4 linked regions of the Caenorhabditis elegans genome follow. The protein of the gene in region 4 purifies or fractionates together with the protein of the main gene of each other region. This does not show direct contact. Each region holds a gene or a part of one and is shown on either strand. Other genes may lie near its edges. The genes, in order: droe-4, Y37F4.1, rbc-2 and H20J04.9.

Evidence for each region.
Region 1: the proteins of H20J04.9 (region 4) and droe-4 fractionate together in Caenorhabditis elegans (co-fractionation; one large-scale study listed by BioGRID). This does not show direct contact.
Region 2: the proteins of H20J04.9 (region 4) and Y37F4.1 fractionate together in Caenorhabditis elegans (co-fractionation; one large-scale study listed by BioGRID). This does not show direct contact.
Region 3: the proteins of H20J04.9 (region 4) and rbc-2 fractionate together in Caenorhabditis elegans (co-fractionation; one large-scale study listed by BioGRID). This does not show direct contact.

What each region holds. Positions count from the first base shown.
Region 1 is NC_003283.11:13,989,629-13,996,496, forward strand, and holds droe-4 (dietary restriction over expressed), read left to right. Parts: upstream 1-3,027; 5' UTR 3,028-3,133; coding exon 3,134-3,469; intron 3,470-3,535; coding exon 3,536-3,676; 3' UTR 3,677-3,848; downstream 3,849-6,868. Other genes in the region: ric-7 (CRAL-TRIO domain-containing protein), read right to left, coding at 34-228, 1,154-1,252, 5,476-5,631, 6,079-6,391.
Region 2 is NC_003279.8:10,854,770-10,863,378, reverse strand, and holds Y37F4.1 (BAR domain-containing protein), read right to left. Parts: upstream 5,293-8,609; 5' UTR 4,734-5,292; intron 4,571-4,733; 5' UTR 4,388-4,570; intron 3,868-4,387; 5' UTR 3,832-3,867; coding exon 3,760-3,831; intron 3,699-3,759; coding exon 3,420-3,698; intron 3,133-3,419; coding exon 2,994-3,132; intron 2,947-2,993; coding exon 2,760-2,946; intron 2,719-2,759; coding exon 2,610-2,718; 3' UTR 2,581-2,609; downstream 1-2,580. Other genes in the region: Y37F4.5 (START domain-containing protein), read left to right, coding at 28-70, 353-535, 604-644, 691-993, 1,067-1,187, 1,238-1,404, 1,611-1,774, 1,872-2,120; Y37F4.2 (Sec-independent protein translocase protein TatA), read right to left, coding at 5,759-5,859, 7,273-7,344, 7,387-7,444; Y37F4.4 (Signal recognition particle-docking protein FtsY), read left to right, coding at 7,580-7,870.
Region 3 is NC_003281.10:2,523,451-2,532,235, forward strand, and holds the start of rbc-2 (WD_REPEATS_REGION domain-containing protein), read right to left. Parts: upstream 5,240-8,785; 5' UTR 5,230-5,239; coding exon of another isoform or gene 5,200-5,229; 5' UTR 5,179-5,199; coding exon 5,046-5,178; intron 4,984-5,045; coding exon 4,860-4,983; intron 4,810-4,859; coding exon 4,698-4,809; intron 4,641-4,697; coding exon 4,431-4,640; intron 3,218-4,430; coding exon 2,916-3,217; intron 2,085-2,915; coding exon 1,961-2,084; intron 1,381-1,960; coding exon 1,182-1,380; intron 1-1,181. Other genes in the region: ndua-8 (NADH dehydrogenase [ubiquinone] 1 alpha subcomplex subunit 8), read left to right, coding at 5,626-5,757, 5,804-5,979, 6,089-6,207, 6,779-6,903; Homeobox protein cut-like ceh-44, read left to right, coding at 7,170-7,220, 7,264-7,374; cone-1 (Protein CASP), read left to right, coding at 7,170-7,220, 7,264-7,374.
Region 4 is NC_003280.10:4,348,001-4,356,218, reverse strand, and holds H20J04.9 (Methyltransferase domain-containing protein), read right to left. Parts: upstream 5,032-8,218; 5' UTR 5,022-5,031; coding exon 4,758-5,021; intron 4,312-4,757; coding exon 3,949-4,311; intron 3,328-3,948; coding exon 3,148-3,327; 3' UTR 3,061-3,147; downstream 1-3,060. Other genes in the region: H20J04.1 (uncharacterized protein), read right to left, coding at 369-494, 542-548; H20J04.7 (Serpentine Receptor, class Z), read left to right, coding at 902-1,111, 1,383-1,787, 1,838-2,008, 2,771-2,998; athp-2 (Bromodomain adjacent to zinc finger domain protein 1A), read right to left, coding at 5,666-5,797, 5,982-6,315, 7,270-7,885.

The sequences.
Region 1 (6,868 bases), on a different chromosome or scaffold from region 4:
GCATTTCAAATATTCCAAATTCCATATCTATACCTTTGGAGGTAAATCGTCATCTCCTCGGTCAACGAGAATCTTGAAAATGTCTGCAGGACTGTCCACATTGAACCAATCTTCACAGAAAAGTCCAGCAAGTCGTTCGTCATACGCTCTCTTCGCTTCGAGAACCATCAACACTTGGTAGGCTTTATGGTGATCTTCTTCAAGTCCGGATAACGAATCAGTTGATGCCTGAAACATTTGGAAAATGAATGGAATTATGGTGTCGATGTATGATTTGAAAGTAATCGTAAGATTGGTCAGATCATTGCAGATTTTATAAAGTTGCGTTTGCGTAGGCATAGTCCTTCAGCATCTAACATCACTGAACATCAATTTGAACTATGGCTTGTTTTCGTAGAAATTCATTCTTTTTCTAGGAATAATTAAACTATTGTTCTAAAAAAGAAAAAGTGAACTACCGGAAACAAAGAAGCCATGCTGAGCGTAGAAAATCGTCGGAAATCACGACATTAAAAAAGTTCAGTGCCAGCGACCTTTATTTCAGATTTTGAAAATTAAATCGACGAAAATCAATTTTTCCCCAACATTTTAGAAAACAATGTATACAAGAAAAAAAACAATGCATGCAAACAATGCAAACAATGTGTTTGTTTTATAAGAATTTTTTTGGCAGATTTGAGTGGAAATCAAAAATCTGAAAAGCCCGGTTTTGGGGAAATTCTACCCAAAATCTGAGAAAAATGAACTGAAAAACTTTCAGATTGAAATTTTATGGAAATTTTTTTAGCATGTTTAGTATGTTTCAATGGTATTTTTATCTATACTTCTACTTATTCATTTTTTAAATGTAATTTAACTAAACTATTCTATCAAAAGTTTATTAAAATGCCACCGGACATTAAATTAAACCAAATTTTTATAATTGAATTTCATGAAATTTGATAACTTTAGCATTTCCGGTAACCGGGATACATGACATTTCAAACTAAAAACTCAAAGAAAAAGTTGTCGTTCTTTGAAACAAGTCACACTTATAGTTTGTAGAAGAATCACACGAAAGACCAAATTTTCTAGTAAATTTTTTGTAAACGTGGGAAAATTGTAGTGATGTTGAGTAATGTAGTGTGGTCGAAGCATTTCTGTTGAAACTCACCAAATCATGCAACTTTTTCAGATCTTTTCGCATTGAAGACGGACTGTAGCCTGGCCATTTATTCATAAAATCGCATTCTTGGACTGCATTGTCGAATCGCTGGAAAATAAACATATATTAGTTTTAATCTCCAAAAAAAATAATTTCTGGACTCGGAGATTTTGTTTAGAAAGTAATCTACCAAATCGCGCGGGTTTATAAAATTTGCCTCCCATAAGAATAAGTCTACTTTAAGCCAGTTTTTGCGTGGTTTTTGTTTTGTTGTTCTCCTCTCATACATCGGATTTTACTGTAATCCTATAAAGTGATTCAATTTCCTATTCTCATATCGTAGACATGTTGATTTGAAAGGAAACTGTCTCGTTTGACGTATTATAATAATCATTATTATTATTCACAGGCATTATTCTTCCTTTTTCCAGCTAGTCGACAGTTTCTGAAACTGTGGACACTTGGGGTTTTGAGCTCAAAAATCACAAGACAGAATATTAAATACTTCCACTTTTTTCACAGGTCAGATCTATCTGCAACAAAATGTAGTCAGAATGATACCAGATATAGGGTCATTTGACAAGGGTCCTTCTTCCTTTATTGACGTCAATAATGAAATCAGAACAAGAAATTGGGTGAAAAGTGCAAAGGGCACAAGATGTACTTTTGCCATTTTTTTAAATTTCTTTTTGAGCATCTTCGTGACCATTCAATCATTTTCAGAAGCGTTCTTCACACGCAAATGTGCCACTTCCACACCTCTCAAAAATTTGAAATTTTCACGCTGAAAATTGGATTCCTCATTTTGTGTGGTTCCTGGACACTTTAAGATTCACTAGGATTAAATTGAGATTAACAGTGACGCCCGGGAGCTCGGACTTTTCGGTTTTTTTCGGATGGGAATGCCGACTAGAAAAGTTACATTCGTTGAAGTGAGACATATTTAAAAGTACAAAACGATTTGTTGATCTTCTATACTTTATCAAATGTCTCTTTAAAGCTACTGGCAAACATTCAAATGATCACCTCATAAGGCGTGGTAGATCAATCACTAAACGTGCAGATTGTCTTTAAAAAAATTTTAACTCCAAAATTTGGTCGTTCAAATAATGAGTCAACGTTGTGGCTCACAAAACAGAAGAGTTCAGAAATATTTTTGGTGCTGGTAGCGATGCGGATAACTAATTAGTAGAGGCTAACTGAAATCATTCACGTCAAGAGGCAAAAGAACACCGAATCGCTGAGTCAAAAAGAGTTCTGATCAACAGTAGGGAAGATCGCACTGTGTAGAATGATCTCAAATGGCGCCCTGTTTGGTACGGTGAAATATAGGGCTGTACAACCGGACGTCCGGTCGTCCGAACCGGACGCACATGCGTCCGGTTGGGGGTAGCTATCCACGACGGCCGACAATTTCCGAGTTTCGCCACTCACTATAAAACTGCTGATTAAGTATAGTGAGTGGCGAAACTCGGAAATTGTCGGCCGCCGTGGAAACCTACCCCAAAACCGGACGCAGTGCGTCCGGTGGTGTCAAAATCGGACGACCGGACGCCGATTTGTACAGCCCTAGTGAAATAAGTACACGTCAAAAACCCCAATTAGTGAATAAAGGGATATCCGTGTTATTTTTTTCCGATCTCCTCATTCTGAAAACCTTACTATCTATATGACATAACTTGGCATTCTTCCCTTGATCCTTATGTACTTTTAACTTAATCAAAACATGAGCTGACCATTTATCTTAACATTATCACCCGTATCTGTCACATGTTTCTAAAAAACACCTCCTGATCTTCAGCTTTTCTTTTCCACCTCCTTTTTCCTATTTTCCAGCTCTGTTCAAAGCCCGCCTTTCGTTACTAAAAAACTGACTCCGCCCATTTCAGCTTCATCATATAAACAGAGTTGGCAGTAGGGCTAATCACTACTTCGAGTCACTCGGACATCTGCCGATCTCTTTTTTTCGATCTCACTGAAACGGTCGACATGTTGAACACTCCAACTGTTATTCTCATCTCTTCACTCGTCCTGGCCTCGGGTTACAGTGTTCGTTCAACTGCTAAGAACACCGTTCAAGATGCTCACGATCAACTCACAAAGAGCATTCGGTGCTGGGAGCCGATTGATGTCAACAATCCATCAAAAGGATACACGATGAGCGAGCCGATCTACGAGTTGTGTAGCTACATGCCAGACCCAAAGGACTACAACAAGTACTACGTCAATGGAGTTCAAATGGATTCCGATGATTACACCAACATCTTGGCCATGTACGGAAATCCAATCCCAGGACACGCTGTGATCAACGTTTGTCTACAAGAGGTAGGTTCAATATTATCAGGCTTAATATAATTGGAGGAATCGGTTTCTTATATAAAATCACTTCAGGCATTCCAATTCCACGCTGCAAACCATCCATCTCAGGTCAGCCTACGTTGTTTGTGCAAAAGAGACGGTTGCAATCTACCAAAAGGATTTACAACCTTCCTCGATTTCAATAAGCTCCCGATGCCAGAAGTCTTCTACTAATTCCTGAATCCTTTCGTCCAATAATATGCTATTCGTCGGGATGTCGCCAGTCTTCTTTTCCTATAATCCCCATTTTTGAATAATTCCTGATTTTCTTCTTCCTTGAACCCGTGATAATGACCATTTCTGATAATTGAACAAACGAACTGAATAAAGATGAGAAACGTTGCAGTATTCTGAGTTGTTCCATAATCCCAGAATCTTCAAATGATCGATTGCTTACGAATATTTGAAAGAAAAAGTGAACAAAGACTATGGTATACATACTCTCCCAACTATAAGTTAGCCGACTATTTTCAGATATCATGAAGAGGCTCCTTCGACGTAGGTAAATCTTCTGATTATACCCATTCATCTTGATTGTATAAATGCCGGATTAACTGACATCCATTATTGCTTTCCATTCTTAATCCGATTAGATTATTCCATTTGTAGATCCACCAAAAAATGAAATATATGTGTGACGTATAGAGACCAAAGAAGCTATTCATTATTCTAGATCATTCCAACTGTCTAACTTTGGTTTTCAAACTTTTAAACAGTAAATAAATGAGCCCTGAAGAGTTGATCGCCGTGCGCGTCCAACATCACCCATACAACTCATAAAGTATTCTTCGTGTGAGGTCTTGTTTACGTCACGGGCTCTTCTTGCCAAAAAGCGAAAAGCTAAAAACGAAGAACATACAACGCAACATAGGTTATTCTGCAAAATTAATGAGATCTTGCTGATGAGAGTAATCGAACACAAATTCTTCGATGCATCTGAATGATCAATCTGGCAATGAGCAATGGATACACATAAATTATTTCCCCTGCAAAACTAGTGGCATTCAATTTGCATTTTAATGATAATATGGGAATGAGCACGAATCCTCGCTTATTCCATTTATAACATTCAGGTTAACCGGTCTAGTGATTCTGAACTTTAGCAGACGAGTTAATGATAACCAAGACGTCGAAATCATCAGAGCTGACATTATTGACTTTTCAGCAGAATTCAATACGTCAGACACATCTTCTAATTGGGACGAAGCTTCTAGATATTGTGCAATGATGCTTCTCATCTGAAACCTTGTCTGGCGGAGCCAACTTGCACTTTTCAAGATATTATTCAAGAAGCACGTCAAAGGTGTGGTGGGTGGTGAAACGCAAGAAAAAACTAAAAATATCCTAAATGTTCTATAATCTTTTATTATTGTTTGGGTATTTGATACCAGATCGTGATATTCCAATCATCCAAATGGGATAAGAAGCTATTCTAGATTTTCTGTCATTTCTTGAGCTGAAAACAGCTTTCTTCAATAATCGCGGGGTTTCTTGGCATCGGAGGATTCAAATGTAAAAATCTGCGAACTTAAAGGTTTTCAAACAAACTTCAAAGAGCATGAAAAATCACATAAAGTGGTTAGATTCTCTAGAACAAAATATTACAGTAGTACTCTATGAATGATTCACTGAAAATTTCGAAAAACAAATGTATTCTCATTTTTAGAAAAAAAAACAATTCGTACCGAAGTCAAATCGTGACGACTTTAATCCGCTTTTTATTTTCTTTTTTGTTCGACAACTGGCTTCAATAACGACAATAACGCACGTAATTAATTGAGAAATCCGGTGGATGTGTCATTGGAAGAAAAATTGAATTTTCAAAAAACGATGGGGACCCATTTTTAATCAAAAGAGCATGGGTGCTTTGTTCATTTTATCTTGTTATTCTTGAAATTTCATTCCATTTTTTAAGCACACGGGGGTACTTTCAAATGCGGAAATTTTTTTGGCATTTTTGTGAAATTGCTCACCTTTTCAATAATCGACCACGTGGCGTCGCGAAGAAGTGAACATTTGTGATAAAGAGCCGATCGCATGAATAGAGAAACACATGATTCATTTGATTCGGTGACACTCGGAACGGCGACTCGTTTCAGACGACGCTTATGATAGATGGTTTGGAGGTCCTGTAATAACTTTGAAATGGTGTAATTTTTTTTTTTTTTGAAAAAACTTGAAGGATTTTCAAATTCTCAACAATTTTGATGATGTATTGTGAATGTTTTTTTTAATCGATTAAAGCACATTCACATTTTCACCATTTAAAATTAATTAGAATTCCATTTTGCACAAAGTTGGAGAAAGTAACCAGACGAGCAAAAAAACCTTTTCGAGGTAAAATGGACTTACAAAATAGATATTGGTTTTTAAAAAAAATCAAATCCGTAATTTTTAAGAGGGCTATTTTTGTGTGTAAAAAACTATTTAAAAAAGTATTCATTTTTTTGCATTTTTGGCCATTGTCTTTAATTGTGTCAAAAAAAATTTGTTTTAATTCAATAAAACATTACTTTACATTTTTAGACATCACATGAATAACCCCATACTTAAGAAGTTTTTCTGAAAGTTCTCACCCTAAATGGTGGTGAATATGGCTGAAAAATTTCACAAGCCATCACCATCAAATCTCTCGACATTTTCGGAGCAAACTTTGGCTCAATTTCCCGCGTTACAGATGAAGAAGCAATTGACAGGGCTCGTTGAACGGCAACTTCTGATTCAAGATCCCAATCAAGGTTTGCTCGTCGAAGTCTTTGTGGTGATGATCCTTCTTCATCGAATCCAATACGACTCGGTCCGTTACGATCAATATCATCACACCATTCCAGTGAAGCACACGACGGAGCTACAATTGACATGTTATCGGATTCCTGGAGAACGTATAATCTGAAAAAATGTCAATTTTAATGATCAGCTTTGAAATTTTCGGATGTTTCTAATAGTGCACAGTTTGAAACTTGAAAAATTTGTCATTTTCACATTTTCAGATTATAAAAATTTTATTCTGAAACCTTTATATGCGTGATTTTTAAGATTTTTCATGTTATAATAATTATTATTTTTCAAGTGACGAATTCTCCTGATTCACTGAAATAGACAATAGTGGGATTTCCAAAAAAAACTTTCGGTGCTTCATTCCAACTTTTGAGCTCTTTCTGCAAAAATGTCATCTTCCTGTTATTTTCTGGAACGGAAAACATGACGCAGTTATTACTTTTTTTTCTGCAAAAAAAGAAGAGAATGAATCAGCATAATCATAATCCAATTCGGGATGGGGATCTACTTTTCTATTCATTCGCCTTGTTCAAAACAGGAAAAAAGTTCTAATCTAGTATATGACGTGGTTTTTATCATAATAACACC
Region 2 (8,609 bases), on a different chromosome or scaffold from region 4:
AAATTTCTGAACAATATTTTTTTACAGCTTCATCAACTGCTCCGCAGGCCCAATCAACACCTAAGTCAGTGTAAGTGAAGCCGAAAATGGAGAGGTTTTAGACGGCGGTCCGGGGGCGGTTCTCGTCCGCCTAGGCGCCAAAATGCCTGCAGGCACCAAAATGCCTTCTGCATAGTGTGGCGCAGACCCCGAAAAATGTCGGCCGCTGCGAAAAACCACTAATACACACACCCACAACAAAATCGGGCAAGAAACGGACGGCCCTCGTAGAATACTTACTGCCTGAAAGCTGAAGGTCATTTAGCCAAAAAATTATAAAAGCCAAGTGCTCCGTAACTTTCGATACTTTCAGAAATAATACATTATCAAACTTGAATTATGCTCTCGTTGGTATTATTACTTGTGTCATAATCATTATAATCGGAGGATTTGCATGGCTTAAAAAATATTATCACCAACCAATGCCAATTAACAAGGGTGTATTTAATTGTAGAAGAAATCAAAGATGTGACTTTGATTTGGACCGAGGATTACGGTGGGTATCTTCTTTGGCTTTAAGATTTTGATTATAATAGAGCGAAATCCAACCGATTTTTTTTTCAGAAGAGAACACTGCGACGTTAGCAATGGACCAGAGAAGGAAAGTGAGTGTGAGATCTCCTAATCAAAAAAAATACTAATAAATTTCAGAACTAAATCGTCAGCATTTCACCAACAATCTCATCGACAAAAAAGAGCATGAGGGCAAGGATTATGGAGCAGAGATACGAAATGTTGCCAAGGCAATTCAGCAGGCATATGCCATACAAATTGGTAAATCTATTGCTGAACAGGAGAAAGGAACTGACGAATATTGCCATTCTGCAATCATTGAAGCACCGAATTCCAGAAAATGGTGTATTATGAATACTAATACGCAGACGAGGAAAATATTTGATTGGATGGTTCGATTGAAGTGTCGGGTTGTTATTGAGTTGACCAATTTACGCGGTGGTAAGTCCTGTTTTGGCTTATAAGCTTAGACTTAGACTTAGGCTTATAAATAATTGAATTGAATTGTTTTCAGAAGAAGGTTGCCCTGAACTATCGCTAGAAGTGAAGGAACGTGGACAATTGATTTACACGTCAAAACAATTGAAATCGAAAATTCCCGGTTTATCAGTGTATAAAGTTCGAAGGATTGAAGAGTGTGTACATTTTTCCAACAATATTCACAAATTCCTAATTCAAATTTTAGTAATCATAGTTTCCTCTACTGGAAGTGTGAGAATATGCCACATGGATTTGTTTCATTTAATTTAGTTCCGTTTGCGAAGATGTATGAATCAACGTCCAGTGATAACGAGTATGCTAATGTAGGAATTGTTGCGGGAAATGTTGATACAAGAGCGACTATTTTACCATGTTAGTTTTATTTAACGGCTCCGGAAAAATGAGATGCAAGGTTGAAAACACTTGAAATATTAGAAAAATGATTTATTAGCCAATTGCTCTTTATATAATTTTTCTCGTCTTTACTGATTTCTCATTTATTGAATTTTCCGGGTGAGAGGTAGGGAAGCCGGGAACTTTTTTTCCTTTTAGTACCTATCTATGAAATGATTTTTCAGTGATTGACACATTGATGCACATCATGGGAAGCTCCCTGAATTTGGACTCGATGCTTCCGATCGCTGGATCTTGGATGGGAACTCAGAAAACAAGATCAATTGATTTGGTAGCGACTGCACAGATTGAGTTTGCACTCTATGTTTGCTTGAAGTTGGTTGCAGATGTAAGTTCAACATTTTTTTGAAATGAGTCCTATTACTGGAGTTTTACTATCAAGTCTATTGCGGTTCCTAGTTCTGGATTTCATTTATAATTTCCAGGAAAACACGTTCACAATGATCCCGATCGCTGCGTTGGAAACTGCATGGATGAAATCTTGGATTGAGAATCACGACATTTTCCAGAAATTCTATACATCTACGCGATTGACTTGTCCAGATGACAGAAGAGAACACTGGTACAAAGCGGGACTACAAAAATTGGCTGAAATTCGAGAAACTCTGCAGGAACCAGTCGCTTGCAAGTCAAACAAATTGGATAAGAAGAAAGATGGAAAAAAGGAGAAATAATGTCGAGAAGGTTGAAGCACTGAAGTAGACTATAGCACTTGAGAGAATAAAATGTGATTCATTTCTGTTCTGTTTTCAGCGTAAATTTATTGTTAAAGCTAGGGGTGTTGTGTGGGACGTGATGAGCCACCCCATAGCAACCTTAGCTATTCAAAAAACGTTTCCAAAATGCCATTCGAAAAAAGTGAAATAGCGGGCGAATGTTGAGGCGATGGAGAGGGATAGAATCCGGGTTGCGCGGCAATTGCGTTATTATGGGAGAGATCACATAGTTTCTACATCTTTTCACTAAAATTTAATGAAAAATATTGGGAAAACACATCTCTGCCTGAAATTGTAGAATTACCCGTCGGCAATCGCCGCGCACCTTTTGGTGGAATCAGGGGTGCCTTGTGGCTGATGTGGCTGTAAACTGATGACTAAAATCAAATATAACACATTTGAAGTTGCAAGCAATAAAAATCACATAATTCTTTATTCGGACAAGTTTCATTTGGATTTCAATGGCTTTTCTTTACTCTTTGGCAGTGCTCTATCATCAAATATTGGGATAGCTTCAGCAATGGATTTGTGGAAGAGAATTGAATCGTCACGAAACCTTAAAATTTTTTTTTTTCGGGGAGTAGTTCCAAAACTTACTTCAAAACTGCATCCGCGTGTTTCCCCTTCTGCTCATTAATCGACTTATTGATAAAGTCAATAACCTTCTGTCTGCACTCATTCCTCCATGTCTGAGCATTTCCCGCCGCGAGTTCGGCTTGCTCCGTTCGCTCCTTATTCTGCTGACTGATTGCGTCGTCGTAGGTTTCCAGCGAGAGCCAATAAACTGAAATTTTTTATTTAGATTCATATTATAGACCCTTTTATTCTTACTCTTTCGAAGCCTTGCGTACTCCCAATAGTCGACGCCAATGAATTTTGTCAACGCCGACAAGTTTTCCAGATGCCTTTGGACTTGCTTTGCTTGTATGGAATCCAGATTGAGCAAGGTTTGGATAGCCGGTTCTAAGCTCTGAAATTTGTGTCCTTATTATCAGGTGCCATTCCATAAGCCAAAAAATTGGGGAGCCTAAGCCTGATTACCTGGGCTTAAATGGTTTATTTGAAAAGCCTAAGCCTACATTTTAACATTTAAAAGCCCTTAGCCTAAATTGTTAAGCCTAAAAATCCAAGCCTAGAAAATATACCAAATTTCTTAGGTGCAAAAAAGTCGTTCCAACTTCCTCGATTTTCAACAGGATTCGCTCTAGAAACTGAATGTCGCGTCACTTTTCTGATCAATTCTGCAACTAAACTCACATCCATTTCTTTGGGGTCAACCTTCGTACCCAACTTTCTTCCTTTCTGATTTATCGCCTGATACGTCTTTAGATACTGCCCAGCGTACTGATAATTCGTATCAGCTTTCATAAGTTCCTGATTCTCAACGAACATTTGAATCAGTGCCTGATGAAGTCGATCTGCGGCTTCTTTATAAGCTTCAACTTGATTGCAAAGCTTCTTCACGTCATCAGTCATCGAAAACAAGCGATTCTTTTTCTTCAGAATCGACGAAAATACACCGTGATTTGGATGGTCCTGAAAACTCTCTTTTTTTTTCGGTTTCGGATTTCGGTTTCGGAGGCATCCAAAAACTTACAGCTAATCCATAAAATAATTTCTGAGCGATTGGCTTTTCATAGCAGCTACTCGTACTCTTCTTGTTTGCCATTAAAAATATAAAATAACTGAGATTGAGATTTCATGTCTGATAAACAAGTATGTTTGTCATCATAAAATGTGTCACGTAACAAAGCAATTTAAATTAGTAATTTTTTGTTTTATTTTTAACATTTTTTAGAAAATATTTGTGATTGAAATTTTGTGAAAAAATTTGAAATTTTTGCTTACTATTAGCTCCGTGTTTTACCAGTTAAATTGCTCCAAAGGCGGTTTTTGAAATTTTCTGTGGAAACTTTCTATTCAACAAAAAATCTAAACAGTTCTCTGGAAATTGTTCTATAGTTTTATGTATTATATTATTTAAAATTTTTATTATTTTTTTATTATATTATTTTAAAATCCGGGTTTGCAGATTTTATCATTTTTAAGATTAATATAAACCTACTGATTGACAAATTCCAAAATCTTAAATTTGTTTAACTGTACGCTTTTTAACATTTTCATACTTCTTGAACAATTTCAAATCATTTTTCTAGACAAATTTGCATGAGGCTTTCCCTATATATGTATTTTGAAAACTAAAATATAATATAAAGCGTTTATACCTTTTAACTACAGTATCCAAAAACATGATAAATATAGAAATTTGGATAACTTTTTGCTTTATTATGAAGCAATTTCATTCAGAGTCCAAATTTTAATTCTCCCACAATATTCAATCAGTGGCCGCTTACACATTAGCAGTGAAATGTTAGTCAGCAACTACATATCCTGTGGTCTGAGATAATCTGTACATGGAAAAATTAATCTAATTGTATGTAAGTGTCAAATCTTTCCCTCTTTGAATATGATATTTGATCCTTATGATTCAAACCAAAACGTTTCCCTTCTTTTCCTATTCATATGATTCACGCCAACCCCAATATCATTATAATTCGATTAAAAACAGACCTATATAAGTTCCTTCTTTTATATTATATTATATAATACCAATGCTTCCTTTCTAGATGTAGACCGCTATCTTCCCCTTTTCTTCTCTTTAATTGTAATTCAGTATTATATTCTTCTAAATAAATTAATCTCAAGAATTCATTTCTTGATAGTAAGTAAATAAAATAAATAATTCAAGCAGAAACAGACGACTATAGCATGAAGCACCCCCGGAAACCAGCAGAGGATGCAGAAACAAAGGTTGAGCCAAACTGACAGAGAGCATCTTTCCTCTTTCACGTAGACGGCGATTGGCGGAAAAATTAAAATGAGCAGAATGTAACAACACGGGCCGGTTTCTTTCATTTCAGCAAGATAGTGTTGCACAAAATATGAAAAATTAAGTTGTTTGGACAACCTTATATACTGGAGGAGTCTGTTAACGGTCATAAACCGGTGCCACAGCTTATGGTTAAACATCATGCAAAAACACTTTGATTGTGTGCTAAAGCATTTATTGAGTCGTTGCTGTGCCAGACGACGAGAGTCTTACTTTCGTCCGGCGCCAGCAGGCAAGGTCTTTCTCGACTGAGGATGTTATTCTCTAGTCGGCTTATATACTCGTGAGGGCGTGACGCTCCCTGCTCAGAGGCCGCGTGGGCGTTAGAGTCATGCGCTTTATGCACGTCTCCAAAGTCCACTCAGTGCAACATGAGAAGTGATCATAGAACACTTCCACAAGTCTATAAACTTTCAGCATCCGTGAAGATAAACTTTTCTTGATTTCAGATATTTTTGTTTAATAATTTGAACTGTAGATTTAAGAAAAAGTAAAATAAGTGCAAGATTGCTTTCTAAAGGGATCTCGAACTTAACACAATTTGGACTTCTTGCTGAAGTTATGAATTGATGGGTTTACCCTGCAACTGAGCCAACGCAACATTTTCAGTGCAAAAAACACATTTTTGGTTTTTTTTATTTCAAAAAAATATTTATAACTATCAACAATGTGACTAAAATAAACTTATAAATTATTTTTTCAGCAACTAGTAGTCTGATTCAGAACTATCGTCTTTTTCATCCGAAACTTCGTCCGGTTCCGTTGGATTGCCCATTAGCTCAGCTATTTTTCGAATTTGCTCTATTTCTGGAAAAACTTTATTGAATTATTGGGACTAAACTTTTAAAATTAAAAATCAAAAATCAAAAAACTTTTTTTAAATCGATTTTTCTACATACCATTTCTTGAATTGAGTATCCTTTTTCCTACATAGCAAAGCTTTTTAAAAGTTCAAATTTGTTTGTAAACCTTCAATTAAAAAAAAAATTTTTAAGACTAGCGCACAAAGTGCGCTATCCCTTCGGGAGTGGGGATAGGGTTATTTCGCTCTAAAGTATCAACAAGGTAGCTGGCGCAGGTTCTCGGCTTTGCCTCAAACCTGTGTTGGGGTTAAGTGTGTTCACCTTGAAATTCAAAATATATTCCAAAGATTTGTTTCTAATTTAATATTTTGAAAAATCATTTAGCGGCTCCGGCGCTTTAGTTTTCAGTTCCTCTAAGATTAAAGAAATATTCTAAGGAGTTGTTTCACATTGAAATATTCTTAAAAATTATTTGGGCGCTAAGTTGAATCTTCTCTAAGATTAGAAAAATATTCTAAGGAGTTGTTCTAAATTCAAAAATTCCTAAGAGTTATCAGCGCCTTCGGCGCTGAATTTTTCAAAGTTTCTGAAATAAAGAAACATACTAAGGAGTTGTTTCTAATTTAAAACTTTGAAGACTTATTCAGCGCCTTCGTCGCTGATTTGAACTATTTCTAAGATTGATGGAATATGCTAAGGAGTTGTTTCTAATTTAAAAATTTTGAATAATTATTTAGCGCCCTGGGCGCTGAATTTTCAGTTTCTCTAAGATGAAAGAAATATGCTGAAAAGATTTTTCAATTTTAAAAAGAAAATGTAAAAACATAAAAGATATTTCGAAAACTTTGATGAGGAGATGAAATGTTAGTTTTTTTTCATAACTTTTTCATTTTTAAAGCTGGAAAAAAATCTTACATATTTGAATTCAGCGTCAAATTCTGAGTCTATTAAAAAAAACAGAATTAAAATTAAACTTAAACAAACCAATTAACAAACGCTCAAAGTTGAAAAATCAAAAATCAAAAAAGGCATTATTTTTCTATTCGGTCGATTATCTCTGTGATGTATGACTCGATTTTCAAAATTTTTTTCGTCTCTCGCTTAAGAAATCTTCAAGGTTTCATATATTTGGCTCAGAATCAGAATAGCTCAAACGACGGCAAAGTTATGAGAGGGAAAAAAAAAGTTTTTGAACAAAAAATTACAGTACACCTACCGTTTACCACCTACAGTACCCTACCGTTTATCACATACAGTACTCCTACAGTATAATATAGGAAGAAGGCAGAAACATCTCAAATCTCAAAAACCCAATACTGAAGCTGCTAAAAATTCATCTGCCCGGAATCTGAATCATCGGTACCAAAAATTCACATTTTATTATACAAAGTATTTAAAAATTTATACAAAAATTCACCATTTTCCGATAATTTCGCTTTGTTTCCAACAACTTCCACTTTTATTTTCAGATTTCCCTCATATTCGACACCTGAAAATTTTTTTTTCTGAATTAAGAAAAAGTAAAACCCACCACCAACTTTGCTCCAGTTCTCGCGAAAAAGTAGACTATGAATACCTATAAAAAGCATTATTTTCTATTTAAAAGTTGAATTTAATGTGATGAATATATAAGCTTATCTGTTTCCATGACAACCATTTCCTGAATAAAAATTCAAGGATTAAAAAGGAAAATTTAACCGATTTTTACTTGCAAAATAATGAAAATGATGCTCCAAAAAGCACATGAAGTACTAGAAGCACTCGTTCTACTAGGACAAAAACTAAGAAAAGAAGTTCATCCCAACGCTGATGAGCAACAACCAACTGTTCCGGCTCCTGCTGCAACACCAGCTCAAATCGAGCAACAGCCAGAAGTTCCGGCTCCAGCTCCAACAGTTCCAGATGTTCAACAGCCTGTCCTGGTTCCAGAAACTGCTCAACTCGTTCCACCATCAGCTACTCTTTTTTATTTCATAAAACTGTTCAGCATAGTCAAAAATACCAGAATATGCTAATCAAAGTATAATAGCTAGTACGGAAGTATTTTTTAAAAAATTTATAAAAATTTATAAAAGCTGATTTTTTCAAAAATTCAAAAGTCCTGGAAAATCATAAGGAGTCATTCTTTTTTGTATTTTTGACTATGCTGAACAGTTTTTTGAGATAAAAAAGAATGACTCCATATGATTTTCCCATACTTTTGAATTTTTGAAAAAATCAGCTTTTATATATTTTTATCAATTTTTTAAAAAATACTTCCGTACAAACTATTATAATTTGATAGGCATATTCTGGTATTCTTGACTATGCTGAACAGTTTTTTGAGATAAAAAAGAATGACTCCATATGGTTTTCCCATACTTTTGAATTTTTGAAAAAATCAGCTTTTATATATTTTTATCAATTTTCTAAAAAATACTTCCGTACAAGCTAATATACTCTGTTTGGTATTTGCTGGTATTCTTGACTATGCTGAACAGTTTTTTGAGATAAAAAAGAATGACTCCATATGATTTTCCCATACTTTTGAATTTTTGAAAAAATCAGCTTTTATATATTTTTATCAATTTTCTAAAAAATACTTCCGTACAAGCTAATATACTCTGTTTGGTATTTGCTGGTATTTTTGACTATGCCGAACAGTTTTTTAAGATAAAAAAGAATGATTCCATATGATTTTCCCATACTTTTGAATTTTTGAAAAAATCAGCTTTTATATATTTTTATCAATTTTCTAAAAAATACTTCCGTACA
Region 3 (8,785 bases), on a different chromosome or scaffold from region 4:
TCTTTATTTTTTAAGTTTTCATTCAAAAAAAGAATTTTTGAAAAAAATAAATTAAAATTTCGATTTTTTTCAGTTGAATAATGTTTTATCTACAGCAATCCCATACATTTTCGTGGTGGGACTCAAAATTTTTTTTCTATTGTCTGAAAATTTTGTTTACTTTTTTTTTTTTTAATACTTTTTTAGGATAAATAAAATAATTTTCCGTATTTTTTTCCGTAAAATCTAGAAATATTTCGGCTGTACAAAAAAGTTAGGATTAATTTTAAATTTTTTTTTCACGAAAATTACGCATTTTTCTATTATTTTATCATAAAATCAAGCTTCATAATAATTTTTTCAGGTGAATAAAATTTTTTGAATTTTTAAAGAAAAATATGCGTTTCCCGTACAATTTTATTATTTTTTTTCTTCGCAAAAATCGAATTTTACTCAAAATTTCGCAGGTTTTTTGAAATTTTAAGCTTTTTTTCTATTTTTTCACCAAAAAAATCGCCCGTACTAAATGGCAAATTCCTGATCGCTTGAGCTCAAAAAAATTAAAATTTTTGAATTTTTTTTGACAAGAATCATCAATTTTTTTCTAAAAGTTTTCAGTTGTTTTCTAATTTTTTTAAAATAAATTTTCTTTTTTTTTTCTTAGAAAGCTAATTTTTTTTCGGTTGATAAATCTATAGTTTCATAGTTTTTTTTATGACTTTCTGATTTTCTAATATCACGAAAAATTACAATTCTTAACGATTTTGTCGTAATTTGCATCTAATTTGTGGTGAAAATTGTCTCAAATATTCAATTTTTTCAAATGAAAATTTTTTTGGGTCCCACTACGAAAACCGGCTGACTAGTTACTGTAATTTTGCAATTTTTTCAAATTTTTAAAGTTTTAATTTCGGCCTAGTTTTCCTGGTTTCAATTTTTTTAAAAATTCAAATTTGAATTTTTAAGATTTGTACAGTTGCAACAACTACAGTAACCCCGAATTTTTCGTGATGGGACCCAAAAATTCACTTTAATGAAATTTTATGATAATACTGAGCGTTTTTTCATGAAAACTGGAGTAAAAATTAAATTTTTAAAGAAAAATATGCAAAAACATGACAAAAAATTTTAAAATACGTTTTTCGCAGGTTTTTTGAAATTTTTAGCCTTTTTTCTATTTTTAGATCAAAAATCGCCCGTACTAAATGGCAAATTCCTGATAGCTGGCACAGCTTTCATGAATTGATGATCAAATGGTGGCATATTCCATACAAGTACACTTCCATCTCTTCTTGAACTTCGTACAACTGAGAAACGACGTTTTTCGTATGAAGATGATGAAGATTCCAGGGAATTTGAAGAATTATATGGTAGAAATGCAAATTGAACGTCGTTTAGGCACTGAAAATTTTGGGAAAATTGAGAATTTTCGGGCTTTTAAGCTGGAAAATCGCTTTACGCGGCTCGTGTACTCCCCGAGGACAAGACTTTACAGTTTTTGAGCTGAACATTCTTGATTTATGCAATTTTCACAATTTTTTGTAGAGATTTTTGGGAAAATCAATGAATTTTCTCGATTTTCAGCTTAAAATGCAATTTTTGGCGCTTTTTTTTTTGGTATTCAAATCTCCAGTTTATAGCAATAAACACTATTAAATTAGAGATCTAGAATTTTCTGTCATTATTTATCACTTTCGGTTTCAAATCGTCAAGGTTTGCTAATTTAATAGTTTTTTGAAGTAAAATTCGATAAATGGGCGATTTTAATGTTAAAAAATACTAAAAATTGAGAATTTTAGACAAAAATTGCCTTTTTAGAGCCAAAATCAACATAAATTCATGGTTTTTCACAGTAACCACGGCGATTTTTTTTTTAATTTTAAAAGTGAAAAAATCAGTGAAAAATGGCCTGAAATCAGGAAATTTCTTCTTCTCCTCGGGGAGTACACACGAGCTGCGTAAATCGACACGGAGCTCTTACAGATCTCGAGTGCTCCTGAACACCATTTACAGTGGCCACAATGAAGGGATTCGGCTGATCGAAATAATTTGAGGTTGGACGATTATTTGCAACAACTGGCGGTACTCCTTCTTTTTGGAGACTTCTGGAATTTGAAATTTTTATTATTTTTTGAAATTTTTGAATTTTATAGTAAATTTCACCATTTTTATACTATTTTACTATATTTTAGATTAATTTGAATGCTAAAGTCGAAAAAAAAAAATTTTTCAAGAGAATTTTTTCAAGAAAATTCAACTTTTTAGCGTTGAAATCTTGAATTTTTAGGCAAAAATATGTCAAATTTGTGGGAAATGTTCAAATTTTTTCAACAAAAATTCGTGATTTTAAGCTATTTATTTATTTTTTATTTTTTCCAAAAAAATCAATTATCTTTTTTTTAATTATTTTTTTTGCATATTTTTAATTGAAAATAAGCGATTTTAACTCAATTTTTGCCGAAAAAGTCGATTTTTCCCGGGATTTTTCACTCGATAAGCAATTTCTATGAGAAAATTCGTCAGAATGTGCGTTTTGGATATTTTGGCTCAATTTTTGTCAATTTTTCATTAAAAGATATAGTTTTTCTGCAAATAATCTGTTTTTCGTGGAAAAGCGGATTTTTTGTTTCATTTTTTGTTGTTTAAATCAATAATTATATATACGAAAATCTATCGAAATAGTGCAAAACTACTTAATTTTTTAAACAAAAATTTTTCGATTTTTGTCAATTTTTTTTGATTACACGCTAGAAAATTAGGGTATTTCGCAAATTGTATGCTTTTTCCAGGAAAATTTCAAATTTCTTTAGATTATTGATAATTTTATCAAAGAAAATTATTCGTTTTTGTGATTTTTTGTTGATTTTCATGTGTTTTTAGCTGAAAAATTCGATTTTTCCGGTATTTTCCAATAAAAATTTCCGGAATTTTCTCACTCGATAGGCAATTGAAATACATGAATTGATTCATCAGTATATCCAATTGTAACTTTATCCAAATCCGTAAGATATCCAGCCACACAACGTTTCGTAGTTATTTCATTTTTATGAAAAACTACTGTTGAAAGATCATCCATATCAATAATCATCCAACATGTCGATGCAATTATTAAAAGCATTCTTCTTGTTGAACAAATATATGAAACACTTCGAATATGTTGAATTTCTAGTCGTTTTGATTCATCTTCATATAGAGATGTTGCTGGGTCCTTTTTCTCCAGTTCTGTGAGCGTCCACACCTGGAAAATGGGGTTTTAGAGCTTGAAAATGGCTATTTTCGCGTTAAAATTGGTCTAAAATTATCTAAAATCAATTTTTTACCTCGGAAAAATTTAAATTTTTCCGTTTTAGCATTAAAAATAGCTTTTTAAACCAAAAATTAGAATTTTTAAATGTGAAAATTTAAATGTGAAAATCTTATGGTAATTGTCATTTTACAAGTAAAAATCTATTTAAAAACGAGATTTTTGCGTTAAGAACACTTTACATTGTGTGAATTGTTCAAAAATTCGCTTTTTTCAGTCAAAAATTGAAAATTTACATTAGAAATGTCACGGAAATTGCCTTTTAACAGGGAAAAAAGCTTCGAAAATTCTATTTTCTACTCGAAAAACCGTTTAAAATGTCATATTTTGGACGAATTTATACATGTTTTACACAAAAATCAACTGCAATAGCTATAAAAATTCAATTTTTCGAGCTTTTCAACTGGAAAAATGTGGTTTTAGAGCTTGAAAATGACTATTTTTGCATTAAAATTGATAAGAAACGGCCTAAAATCGATATTTTGCATCATAAAAAGAGCTTATAAACTGAAAATTTGAAATTCTCACGGAAATTGTGTTTTTTTTAGTTAAAAATTTTTTTTTAAGCTTCAAAAATTCAATTTTCCACTCGAAAACTGTCCAAAATGACATTTTTTCAATAGATTTATACATTTTTACACCAAAATCAACGTCAAAAGTCGTAAAAATTAATTTTTTTTTTCTTAAAAATAGCTTTAAAATCAGCTTTTTTAATCTAAAGGCTATACAAAAAATCTTCCAAATTAAGTAGAAAATTGGCTTTCTGGAGAAAAAATTCCAAAAACTGTGATTTTTAAGTGAAAAAAATTTGAAAATTTCACGGAAATTGTCGTTTTACAAGTTTGAAAAATCGAAATTATTAATAAAAAACTTTTAAAATCCAAATTTTTGGGCAAAAATTACAATTTTTTGCTCAAAACCACCAAATTTCGTTCAAAAATAAGCTTGAATCAGGGTATCGCGATTTTTTTTTCCATTTCTACATAAAATTGAAGATTTTTTCTAGAAAATTTGTATTTTCACATTAAAACATTTAAAAATGCAATTTTTCCGCGAAAATATGATATTTTTTAATGTTTTTCGGTGATTTTTGGCTGAAAAAAATTAATTTTTTCGCTTTTTAATCGATTTTCCATTAATTCCACACCTTCATCATTCCACTCAGAGTCATTCCAATCAACTGATCCTCCTTTTCCGGATGACTAATAATTGTAAAACAGCTTATCCAATCCGGTTCAACTCTTGAAGAAATTGAGAATACAACTGTCAAATCTTGTGGATCCATTACTTGAATATCACTATAATCTCCAATACAGAAAAGACGAGTTGCTCTCGTGTGACGGGACGATTTATACGTCTGAAATCAAAAAAATTCTCGGTTTTTTCGGCTAAAAATCGATTTTCCAGCGCCTACGTATGGATAAATATATCTGTGAATTGCAATAGAAGATGTTGAATCAATGCACCGTCCATCTTGAATCTCCCAGAGGCATACACGTCCGTCGGCTGAAGCTGAGACAAAACGTCTGGAATTTTTCGGAAATTATCGATTTTTTCCAAATCCTGCGTTACTAACGTATTTGTCGGTGTATTTGTTGTCTGAGAGATTGCTGTAATCTTTTGAGAATGTCCAATCATTAGCTGCTTTGGCATAAGTCCTTCTGCTAGCTTCCAAATAATAATGTGGCCATTTTCAGCGCCTGAAAATTTCGAAATTTCAGATTTTTTGTTTTATTGTTTAGAAAATTCGATGAATATTAACCTGTGATAATTGTTGCGCCATCAGGAAGCACACGAATTGCGCAAATCTTGTTTTCCGGCGGTTTCGGGCCCCAAATGACAACTGGAACGGAGAGCGCCGGCGATTTTGTGCCGGCTGGCGCGACTTCCACCATTTTTCAGCTAGATTTTCAGATTTACAGCAGAAATTTACACAATAATTTCATAATATTTAATCTGAAATGAAATCTGAATTTCTTCAATTAAATAAGCTTTTTTTTTAGAAAACTTTAATCGGAGCAAGAAAAGGGCAAAGTTCGATAGCCCGTAAATCGACATGAGATGCCGCGGGTCTCGCAGGGAAGAGAGCCAACATGGCATGCGCCTTTAAACTTGTGTGGATTTACGGGCAAACAGCCGTTGCGCAAAACAAATTTTATTTTTTATTTTATCATTTAAAATCAAAATAAACTATTTTCAATCGATTTTTTTTTGTTTTTTTTTGTTTAAAAATCAAATTTCAAATTTTTCTCATCGAAAATAATAAATTTCATCACCGAATTCCCTCTCTGTAACAGTTTCCGCTTGGTTTCCAATTTTCCAATTTCAGGGTACATTTTCCGATGAGTATAACCAAGGATACGCATTTTCCAAGTGACGAGGAGCTCACTGTTCCTCAGGAAATCACTTTATCAACTCCATGGCTCAAATCCATCGCTCCCTATATGGCAAAACATTGCGAAAAGGAGGCAAATGTTGGTTTTTCTGCCAAATTTTCGATAAAATTGAGATTTTTTGCAGGAGTTCATGCTTCGACGAAAGGAAGCCGAGGATCCACGTGCCGTTTTGAAGGAGGGAGCCGCGCTGACCGCGTGTGGAGTCAATTTTCTTCAATCTTTGAAGCGTTCCTGCCTTCCACAGACTCAGAAGCTCGCCGAATGTGTTGATCAGAGCAGTGCCAAGCTTTACATGTCAAAGTGAGCTTTCCAAAAATGAAATTTCATCGAAAATAAACCGTTAAAAAATTTTAACGTGATTTTTTTCCGAAAAAAAAAGCGAAAAAGCAGTAGAATATTCAATTTTCAGGTGCCATGACGACCAGAAGGAGCTCGATGCCTGCGTGGAAGCTAATTTGAACTTGACGCGTCCAAAGCTTGGATACTTCAGCAAACTTCATGTCTATGACTCGGCCACCGCGGCTCCAGGTACAGAAATTATAGAATTTACGATAAAATTAATTTAAAAATGCGAAAAAATCAATATTTTAGCTGAATTCTTCCACTGTTTTTCTCTCAATTTTTGTATGAACTTTTCAGAAAAGTTCCCAGAAACTCCTGAAACTTGAAAAATTCTAACGTTTTTGCATATTTTCCTGAAAAAAAAACCACTTTTTTGTTAAATTTTTCGCTTTTTTGACTATTTTAAAGCTTTTTAAAACTAAAAAGTCACGAAATTCACCTTTTTTCAGTCAAAAAAGCCTTGTAAAACTGGTAAAATTTGTATTTTTCGGAATAATTTCAAATTTCGAGCCAAAATATCACTATTTAAACCTTAATTTCAGACATTTTTTAGCGACAAATTCAAATTTCTATCCAAAAAATATTGTATTTTAAGTTAAATTTTGATAGATTTTGCGGAAAAAATCCGAATTTCAAGTCAAAAAAATCAATTTTTTCAGTTTTAGGCATCATTCCCACCTGAATTTCACGAAAATCTCACTAAAAACTCATTTAAAATCCCATTTTTCGCGGCAAATTCAATTTTCCCCAATTTCAGAGGTGAAGCTCCGTGACTACAAGGCAGAAGCAGCTAAAGTGCTCAATGAGCTTCCAGCCGACTATCATCTTCGCAAAGACTACCGTAAATACAACGACTGGCGCTACAATATTACTGAAAGCTAGATTTCTCTGAAAAATTGGCCGTTTTTCTGCAAATACCCTTCGTTTTCCCGTAGAGTTCTCTCCAAATTCTCCTATTTTTTTCTTGTTTTTTCCCGTTTTTTTTTCCAAAAATTTAAATTTTTTCAGCGAATAAAATGTAGATTTTCTTTAATTTTTTTTTTTCACTTTTTCAACCTTTCTGGTTTTAATCCGTGTGCTATTTCTAACAAATTGTGTGATTTTTTGCTGTGATTAAATAATTCGATTAATTTCTTATTTCAGACCTTATGGAAATCGTCTCAAGAGCATGGGAATCTGTAGATTGGGACCGAATTCAAGTTTTTTGGAAAAAAAAATTATTTAAAAAATCTGAAATTTCAGACAAGAGTGGAGGCTGAAGTGACAGCACTTGGACAACGACAAGATGACAGTGAAATTCGTAAAACACGATTGGTTGAGGAGAGTAATGCATATAGAGGCAGAACTAATAAGGTAAAGAATTGGAGAAAAATTGGCCTGAAATCCGGTGAAAATCGAATCAAAATATGGGAAAATTGCCGAAAATCCAGCAAAAATAGAGAGAAATTATGGAAAAAATGGCTGAAAATCCGGCAAAAATGGAAAGAAATTATGGAAAAAAAATTGGCTAAAATCCAGAGAAAATCCGGATAAATTGGCTGAAAATTCGGCAAAAATGCTGAGAATTTATGGAAAAATTAGCTAAAAATCTCAGCGAAAATTACTCGAAATTTTAGGAAAAAAAATGATTGAAAATCCTGCAACATTGGGGAGAAAATATATAGAAATTTGCTAAAAAACAAGAAAAAAAATGAGGAGAACTTTTGGAACACTGGGCTGAAAATTCAGAGAAAACGAGTATAAATTCTTGAAAACTGAGCTAACAATCCTGCATAATTTGAATAAAAATTCAGCGAAATTAATGAAAAATGGACCAAGCTCTGTCGATATTTATAAGTGAGGATTTTTTCCACCGATTTTTAAATACAACTTTTCTTGAAAAAAATGCAAAAATGTGCTCGGAATACTCATTTTTCAGTAATTTTCAGTTATTTTGCTTTAGAAAATAATGGTGCAAATTTTCTTTAAAAAATCGATATCTCTGGAATTTGGATCTGTGTAATTTATAAATAAGTAGTTTTTTGGAATTACTAGAAAACTTTTGGAAATGCTACAAAAAATGTAGAATTAGTACATAAAAAATGTCAATTTTTTTGAACTTTGGTAAATTCCGGTGGTTCTCCAATATGAAGTGAAGATTATGTGCTCCTCAAATGATCGATATCTCGAAAATCGTGATCAATATCGATTGATTTTCCCGCCAAGTGTCATACCATCAATCGAACATTAGTCGAATCTCTCTCTCTCTCTCGCCATCTGTCATTCAAATCGTTTCTATCTCGTTCTCTTATGAGCTCTGTCCTTTTTTCGTAATTTTTATTTTTTGCTCTATAGTATGTAGGTTTTTGTACTACTTCCTAGTCTATTTTTTTCAACTTTTCCTGTAAAAAATATTGTTTATTACCAGCCGGTAGCATATGCACACACACACACACATACATATTTCTAGTAGTGTCTGTATTAGCTCATAAATCATCAGATTAGTTTACATTTTCAAATTAATCCTATAGATATATCACATTTATTTATAGCTCTGGAGGGCATTTTTCAAGTTTTTAGATTTTCTAGATTTCGAAATTTCATCTAGAAATGTGCAGAAACTAGAGGAAAACGCTTGTAGAATCTCAATTTCTTTAGATTTTAAAAACTCGAAAAATTCCAAATTCGCAGATCTCCCAGGCTGCCGTATTATGTGTTATCTCCAGAAATAAAGGCCTAAGCATATCCAGATTTTTTCTTCAATTTTCCCTGATCTACCCGTGTT
Region 4 (8,218 bases):
TTTAAACATTTTTAGAAGGGAGCTTGAATCTCTGAAACTAGGCAACAACATGTGTAACGCTATATTTTTTCAAAAAAAATAAGCTTTTGGCGTTTTTCAGAGATCAACCAGAAAAGAAAAAAACTCTCATGAAATATGATTAACTTTAATTTACATGGAAATGTACTCGTGAACTCTCAATAAGCTGCCACGTAGTTTCAAAAGAAAATCAATAATCCACGTCACAGAATTCAAAACAAATTCCACGTGGCAGCTACTCTTCTAGAAATTGACACCGTCTAAGATGTCAGAGCCTCTAACTCAGAAAACCATGGGTAATTGGCCAAAAACATGTCCGCTTCCTTAAGATTTACGAGCCATTCACTGACCTTCTGGAGCACTTCTAGTAACAATGGCTCCTGTTGCATTTCCACTGACAAATTGTGCAGTTAAACTCGTTGGAATATTATCATGACAATTAACAATTAGAAATCCAATGAATAGTAATTTCCAATCTGAAATCGAGCAGAATTGGAATATGCAGAAAAAGGTGTAAACTCACATTTCATTTTGATACTTTTTTACTGAAAGAACAGCAAAATTGAATATCTGCAGCAGAAAGTTGAAAATTTCTGGAATAAATGTTTGATGATTATTTGGACACACGTAGTTGTTTTTTGTTCCCTCCTTCTTTTTCAAGAAGTTCACGTGAAGTTATTTTCATTGTTTTTTGTTGAGAGTTTATTTGTGTAAAATTAAAAAAAATCACGTAATTTGTGAACTTTATCTTGAATTTTTGTTTAAAAGTTTACATATAAAGTTGTATAATTATAGCTAACACTAAATAACACAATCTTTTCAACGGTTTTCTTGATCAAAACTTCAGCTTTAGTTATCATTTTTACTTCCCAACTTTCCAAAAATGAATTCCTCACCCAGTTTTACTTCTCCACTTGTACTCCCTACACCCCCTTGTGTAAAAATTATATGTGCTCCGGAGCCGTTTCAAGACCCATCACAACATAATTCTTATTCGATTAAAATTATATTACTATTGGTTTTGGAAGTTTTGAACGTTATGGTTCAGAGTTTTATGGTTATATTTATTTTGAAGAAGAATTGCTTGAAGTTGGTAAGTCTGAATCGCCTTGGGTTCCGCTTAGGCTCAGGCTTTGGATTTCACTTAGGCTTCTGCTTAGGCTTAGGCTTAGGCGTAGTCTTAGGCTTCGGATTAGGCTTAGGCTTCGGCTTAGGCTTAGGCATAGGCTCAGGCTTAAACTTAGGCATAGGCTCAGGCTTAGGTTTAGGCATAGGCTTAGGCTTGGTGGAGAGAAAGAGAAAAAATAAATCCCAAAAAAGTTCCTGAAAGTTGACCGAACATTGTCAAGTAATTGTCATTTCAGACCCCATTTTTTGCATTCACAGTTGTCCGATCATCGATGATTATATTCCGAGTATCATTCCTAATCTTCGCAATAATTATGCTGGAAATGACATCTGAAAGTTCCCTTTTCCTAGAAGATATCCTTCAATTTTCTCTTCTCGTGGATTACTGTAGTCGATTTTTCTGCCTGACAATTATATTTCAAATGTCGTTAAACCAATTGTTCTGCTTTTTTTCTAAAACTTGGAATCATCGAATATTTGGCAACGTGCAAATTGTTATTCTTATTCTATTCAGTGCATCTTTTTCTATTACTATTGGAATACTTGGTTTGAGAAATTTCAAAATAAAACGAATATTTATCTTGTGGTTGGGATTCTTCGAAAACCCCTGGAACGGACACGGCGATATTTACAGTGATAAGGTAAATAAGGGTTACTTTAGTTTTAATTTTAACTTTTAAAAACATTTTAGAGTATCCATCGCATGTTTCATTTGTTTCCAGTAGCATCAATAATTTGTTATATGATTTTGTACTATTTGAAGAGACAGAAAAATAAAAAGGTTCTTATAAATACCACAAATATGTCTAGAGAGGAGAAAAGTGTTCATATAGAAATACTTATCACATCTATTTTATATTTAGTGAGTTTTTTGGGTTAGGGAATATGGGTACTTTAGGGGTACTGTAAAGGTATTTTAGGATTGCTGCAAATTAAGAAATCTTGAGCTGGGGTACCGTATGGGTACTGTAGCAGTACTTTAGATATACTGTAGGGGTACTGTAGACGTACTGTAGGCGTACTCTAGGAGTACTGTAGGGAAACTGGGGGGGGGGTACTGTAGAAGTACTGTAGGGGTATTGTAAGAGTTATATGGGGATACTGTAGAACTACTGTAGGATTACCGTAGTTTTGGAAAAAAATACTTTTTTTAAAGGGATATTGGTTTAGGGGTAACGTAGGATACTGTAAAGTCAAAATATAAAAACTGTCACATCAAATTTGACTACAGCGACGCGCGCGAAATATTCGCTCTCGATTCCTCATGCCGTAAAAACAGCTGGAACCACGGGTGATGACAGAAACGGGAGACGAGAAAATGCGAAGATACAGCGCAAAAACTGACGTTTCTAGAATCGAGAGCGAATATTTCGCGTGCGTCGCTGTAGTCAAATTTTATGTGACAGTTTTTATATTTTGATAATAGGAATACTGTAGTTTTTGGAAAAACATGTTGTCTTCTGAAGGGATATTGAGTTGGGATACTGTAGTAGTACTGTAGAGGTCCAGTAGAGGTCCTGTAGGAGTACTGTAAGAATACTATAGAGTACGGTAGGGGTACTGTAGGAGTACAGTAGTAGTACTATAGTTGTGTACTGTAGGAATATAATTTAACATCTTTCAGATTATAATAATTCCATACGACATCCTTATGAAGACAAAATATTTCGAACAAGATTCTGAGGAAGGCGATGCTCGTTTCCATTTCGCATCAACATTTCAAATTTTCAATCATTTCCCGGAAATATCCATGCCATTACTGAATCTGTACTTTAGTGGAATATTCAGAAATAAAATTGCACCGGGACCTGAGCATGGGAAATCTAGTGTTGAAACTGGCGCGAAAATTTGAATTTTTTTAAACTTTTTTCCAATTTTTCACACTAATAAAGAATGTTACTCTTCCAAACAAATTTTCAAAAGTACCTATTTTTATAGCGAAAAATAACAACAAAAAATCATTAAAAACCTATTTTAAAAAAACATTTTTAACCGAAAAAATTAAAGATCTTCAAAATTCTTTTTATCATTCATCATCGCTTCGGCCAGTCGTTCTTTCTTCATATCCATCGCCAATTTTTTCATTAATTCTTCAGGATCTTGTCCAGCTAGAGGATCAGTAGATTTTGTAGCCGAGATGATTTGATATTCACCAATTTGGGGGTCCTTATGGTAGTTGATCTGGAATTTAGTGTTGCTTTTTGAAATCGTGATGCAAGCGCGCTCCATGGCCAAATGGAAATGCTCCGCCCCCGAATGATGGGTCTCGTTAGGTATTTGGCGGCCGAACCGCGAATTACTGTAGTAGTACTGTAGGAGTACAGTAATAGTACTATAGGGGTACAGTAGGATGTAGGGGTACTGTAGTAGTAATATAGGGGTACTGTAGCAGTACTATGGAAGTAGAGTAGGGGTACTGTAGGGGTACTGTAGGAATACTGTAGTAGTACTATATGAGTATTGTAGGAGTACTGTAGGGGCACTGTAGGAATACTGTATTCGTACTATAGGGGTGCTGTAGAAGTACTGTAGGGATACTGTAGGAATACTGTAGGGGTACTACGGGGGTACTGTGGTAGTACTATTGGAGTACCGTAGGGGTACTGTAGTAGTACTATTGGAGTACTATAGTAGTACTGTTGTAGTACTGTAAGGACACTGTAGGAATACTGTAGTTTTGAAGTTTTTTTTAATTTTCGAATTTACGGTTTTGGAGTCAAATACCTAACGAGACCCATGGTTTGGGGGCGGAGAGTTTTCAATTTGCAGTGGAGCGCGCTTGCTCCTCAATATAATAAGCACTTTAACATCACTAAATTCCGCCGTTTCCAGTGCCCACAGATATCTCATTGGATCCCACTGATTCTCCTCAAGTATTCGATTTTCCGTCAATTTCTTCAACCGATCGAATTGCATTCCACAAATCAATGTTCCACCGGGTTTCAGAACTCTCAGCAGTTCCCGATTAATGTTTACCAGTGCATTTTGTTGTAGAAAATAGAAGAGATCCACGTGGAATACATGATTGAATAGATCAGTGGGATACGGTAGATTCCGTAGATCAACTGCCGAATCGATGCGGATTTTATCGGTTTCGGCGATTTCCAGAACGAATCGTTTGATGGCTCGTTCGTTCATATAGCCGGATCTTTCAACACCGAATACCTGGAAATTTTAGGTGTTAGAGAGAAAAAGAGAATGTGAAAATGATCAGATTTGCTACGTGGCCGTGAGGCGAGAAAACTCGGCCACGGCCGAGAAAAGAGGTTGTTTTGGGACACCTAGAAGGTGTAAAAATTTGTTTAAAACATACGATTAAAATTGGTGGCCGAGTTGTTTTCTAGGCCACACGTGGCAAAATGCACACCGCGAAAGTGAAGACATGGTGCATCTGACTGGGTTTTTTTTTAATACATTAGCCGGCATCGAGCTTCATGGCCGCGAAAAAGAGAAAACTCGGCCACTATCGGGTGGCAAAGTTTCAGATTAGTCTGTGGGAAAAAAATTAAATAAATCGGTGGCCGAGTTTTTGCTTTTTCTAGGCCACGATTTACAGATTTTTACAATTTTCAGGCATTTCAGGCAGGCCTGCCTACACCCTCTCCACCTACCATTCCCCGGCCGTCTTTAACCCGATCAAAGCACATTTTCATAGCATCTCCTCGTCCAAATCCAATTTCAAATAGAAAATCATCTTTCCCAATATCCATTTTCTCAACGACTTTCTCATTGAGCCGCCTGGATTTCGATGCACCATACTTGCTCACAATCATTCCAGTCATTGATTTAACCGGTAGAGCGTATTGATTTGCGAGATCACTTGTCGCCAGCTTAAATGAGTTGGCGAACAGTTTTGTTAACTTTTGGGAAGCCATTTTTTTGGAGCTGGAAATTTATTGATTTGAAAAATATTATTAAGCCGCGCCCCTTTAATGGCAAGTTTATATGTTCCATTTTGAACTTCTAAATTTAAAAAGAAACCCTAAAAAAAAATTTTTTTTTTCGATTTTTTTAATTCTAAAATTCAATATATAGTGCTAATTCTACACTGAAAACTGCTCCTAAACCGAAAATTCAAACTAAAATTTCAAATTTACGAGTTCATTTTCAATGACTTTCATCAGTAGTTGACACAAAATAGCACAATTAAAATAACGTTTTGAAAAGTCACAGGGGGACCTCAAGAACAACAAATATGACGTGTCAAAATTAATTTTTTTTGACTGAGATTTTTGTAACGGGGGAGCGGTTGAGTTAAGACCGACAGAGAAAGAAAATGTGAACGAAAAAATTGTAAAAAAAAATTAACAGAAAATGAGTACATTTCTAGGAAATAGTAAAGGAGAGAGAGCTAGAGAAAAAGAGCGAAAAAAAACAATTGAGATACGATTTTGTGTAGTCTGTGTGGATTTACGATATGGATATTTTGAATTTTTTTTAAGTATGAAAATTGATAGGTGAGGGGGGTAAAAGTAGAAATTCAAGAAAAAAAAGTAACAGAAAAATGAAATGAATATGTTTATTGATCGATGATCTCATCGAGACGATCCGCCATAAAATCGTGAAGTTCTCGAGAAAGCTTGTAGATTTCATTTTCCGGCTCATTGTACGTCTCGCAATTTGATAGGATTAGTTGGAAGTCGTTGCGAACCTGGAATTTTGGCGGTTTTTTTTCAAAAAAAATTCAACAAAAAAAAATTAATGCTTTGTTTTTTTAATTAAAAAATTTTAATTATATCAAAAATGCTAATTTTTAAATATAAATTTTTTTGCAGAAAGCAATTTTTTTTGGATATTTTTTTTCAAATATATTGTCAAATTTCAAAACTATCAACCTCAATAGGTTTATTATAAATCCTCTGCTTAATCTTATTCATCATAGTTCTCAAATTCATAGGCCGTTTGATGACGTCATAGTAATCTGGAACTTCTTTCGAATCAACTGGTTGAAGGAATGGCCATGAACATTCTTGACGCATTGCTTCTTTCAATAATGTCTCAATTAATGTCATTTTCTCTTTAATATTTGGTATTATGACACGGGAAATATCATTTGTAGTCGGTGTTGATGTGACTGATTTCTTGGATGTTGGTGTCTTTCGCTTTCGCGTATTTTCACCGTCAGAATCATCTTCATCAGTTAAAACATTCTCGTTTTCAACGTCAAATCTGGAAAAAAAATCTTATTAATTGAAAAAATTCGAATTTTAAAATATCCTTTTAAAGTTGAAAATAATTTTTTTTCCAACTTTTAAGAAATTTCAAAAAAATTGATGTACACCTGAATTTTGGCGGTTAAAAAAAACCAAACAAAATTTCTTATCTTTTTCTCAATTTTTCCAACAAAAAAAAATGAATTTTTAACTATTTAAAAAATAATATTTTTAATTTTTTGAATATTAATGTTTTACTTTTTTTGAAAAAAAAAGTTAAATTTTTTTTAAAACTACAAAAAAACCACTAATTTTTACAAATGTTTAGAATTTTCAGGAATTTTCAAAATATGTATAATTATTTTTAGGATATTTATAAAATTAATTTTTAAATTTTAATGTTTTTAAACAAAACTTTCACTCCAAATTTTGAGGAAAAAGTTTTTTTTTCAGAAAACTCGAATTTCTTAAAAAATATATAGTTTCTAAACAAATTTTGAACGGATTTTTCAGAAAAAAAATGCTGGTTTTTTTGGAAAATTAAGTCCAAAATTGTAGCAATTTTTAATAACAAATCTTATAATTTTTTCTACAATTTTTGAAAAAAAATTGAGCTTTTTAAAATTTTTCTGACAAAAAAAGTTGTATTTCTTTTTAAAAAAAATTTTTTTTGAACAAATTTTAAATGGATTTTCAGTAGAAAATGCTACTTTTTCCATTGAATTTTCAAAATTTAATTTTTTTAATTAAAAAAATTTATTTCAGTTATTTCAGTGTTTTGAACGGTTTTTAACCAATTTTTCAGATTTAAAATTCAATTTTTCCAAAAAAAAGGAAATTTTTTCTTTAATTTTTTTTTTAACAAACAATATGAAACTTCTGAAAAAAAAAATCATAAAAGGCATTTTGAACGATTTTTTCAGCAGAAAATTTAAGTTTTCCGTCAAAAAAAAAAATTCCAAACTCTCACATTCTAACAGAAACATTTCTAACAGGTCTCTCCGAAGGTGTGACTGGCATGGATCCATTGGATTTCCGATTTTTCAAGCTTAATCCTTCATGAATATCAGAATAATGAACTCGTTTTACAGCCCGACCACTTGCAGTTCGAATAGTTGGCGGCTCTTTAGAAGTTGTCGGGGTGCTACAGCTCTCAGCTGGCTCAGCAGTTTTTGGAGCAATTTCAGAGAAATTATCGCTAATCGATATATTTCCAATTGCAACATCTTCTTGTGATGAAGATTCAGCCAATTGATCATCATCCCGAGCCATTCGTTTTGCTTCATTCTCAACTTTTCTCTGTTGAGCTCTACAACTGGTGCACATCCAATCAGCTGGAGCATCTGAGTTAACATCCAGCTTTGCACATTTCAAATGATAACAATTATCACATTCAGAGCACAATACAAGATCATGAGCAGCGGCTTTTCGTCGGCATGAACGACATTTTCCTTGGAGACGAGATTTATCCCATTTGATAGATCCTTCGAATGTTGAGATGAATAGAGAAAGAGCTGAATGGGATTCACATTCGAGAAGTGCTCTTTGCCAACGTATGAATAGTTCGGAGGGCTTCAAGTTTCCGTCTGAAAATGACGGAAAATTATTTGAAAATTAGGAAAAACATAAATTATTTAGAAAATTTCGGAAGAATGTCACATTTGAGTTATTTTTTTTTGTTTTGTTTTGGGAATCGAAAAATACCGATTTTTTCCAGAGAATTTCGACATGTCCGATTTTTAGTTTTTTTTTAAATTTTTTTTAGGGAAAAAAATTAGGAAACATCTGAAAATGGGGTAAAATTAAAAAAAAAAAGTAAAACTTATCAAAAAATCTCGAAAAGTGTTCAATTTATTGTTTTTTTAATTCACTTTTCAGAAAAAAATGAACATATTTTTGATAAATGTATAGTATTTTTC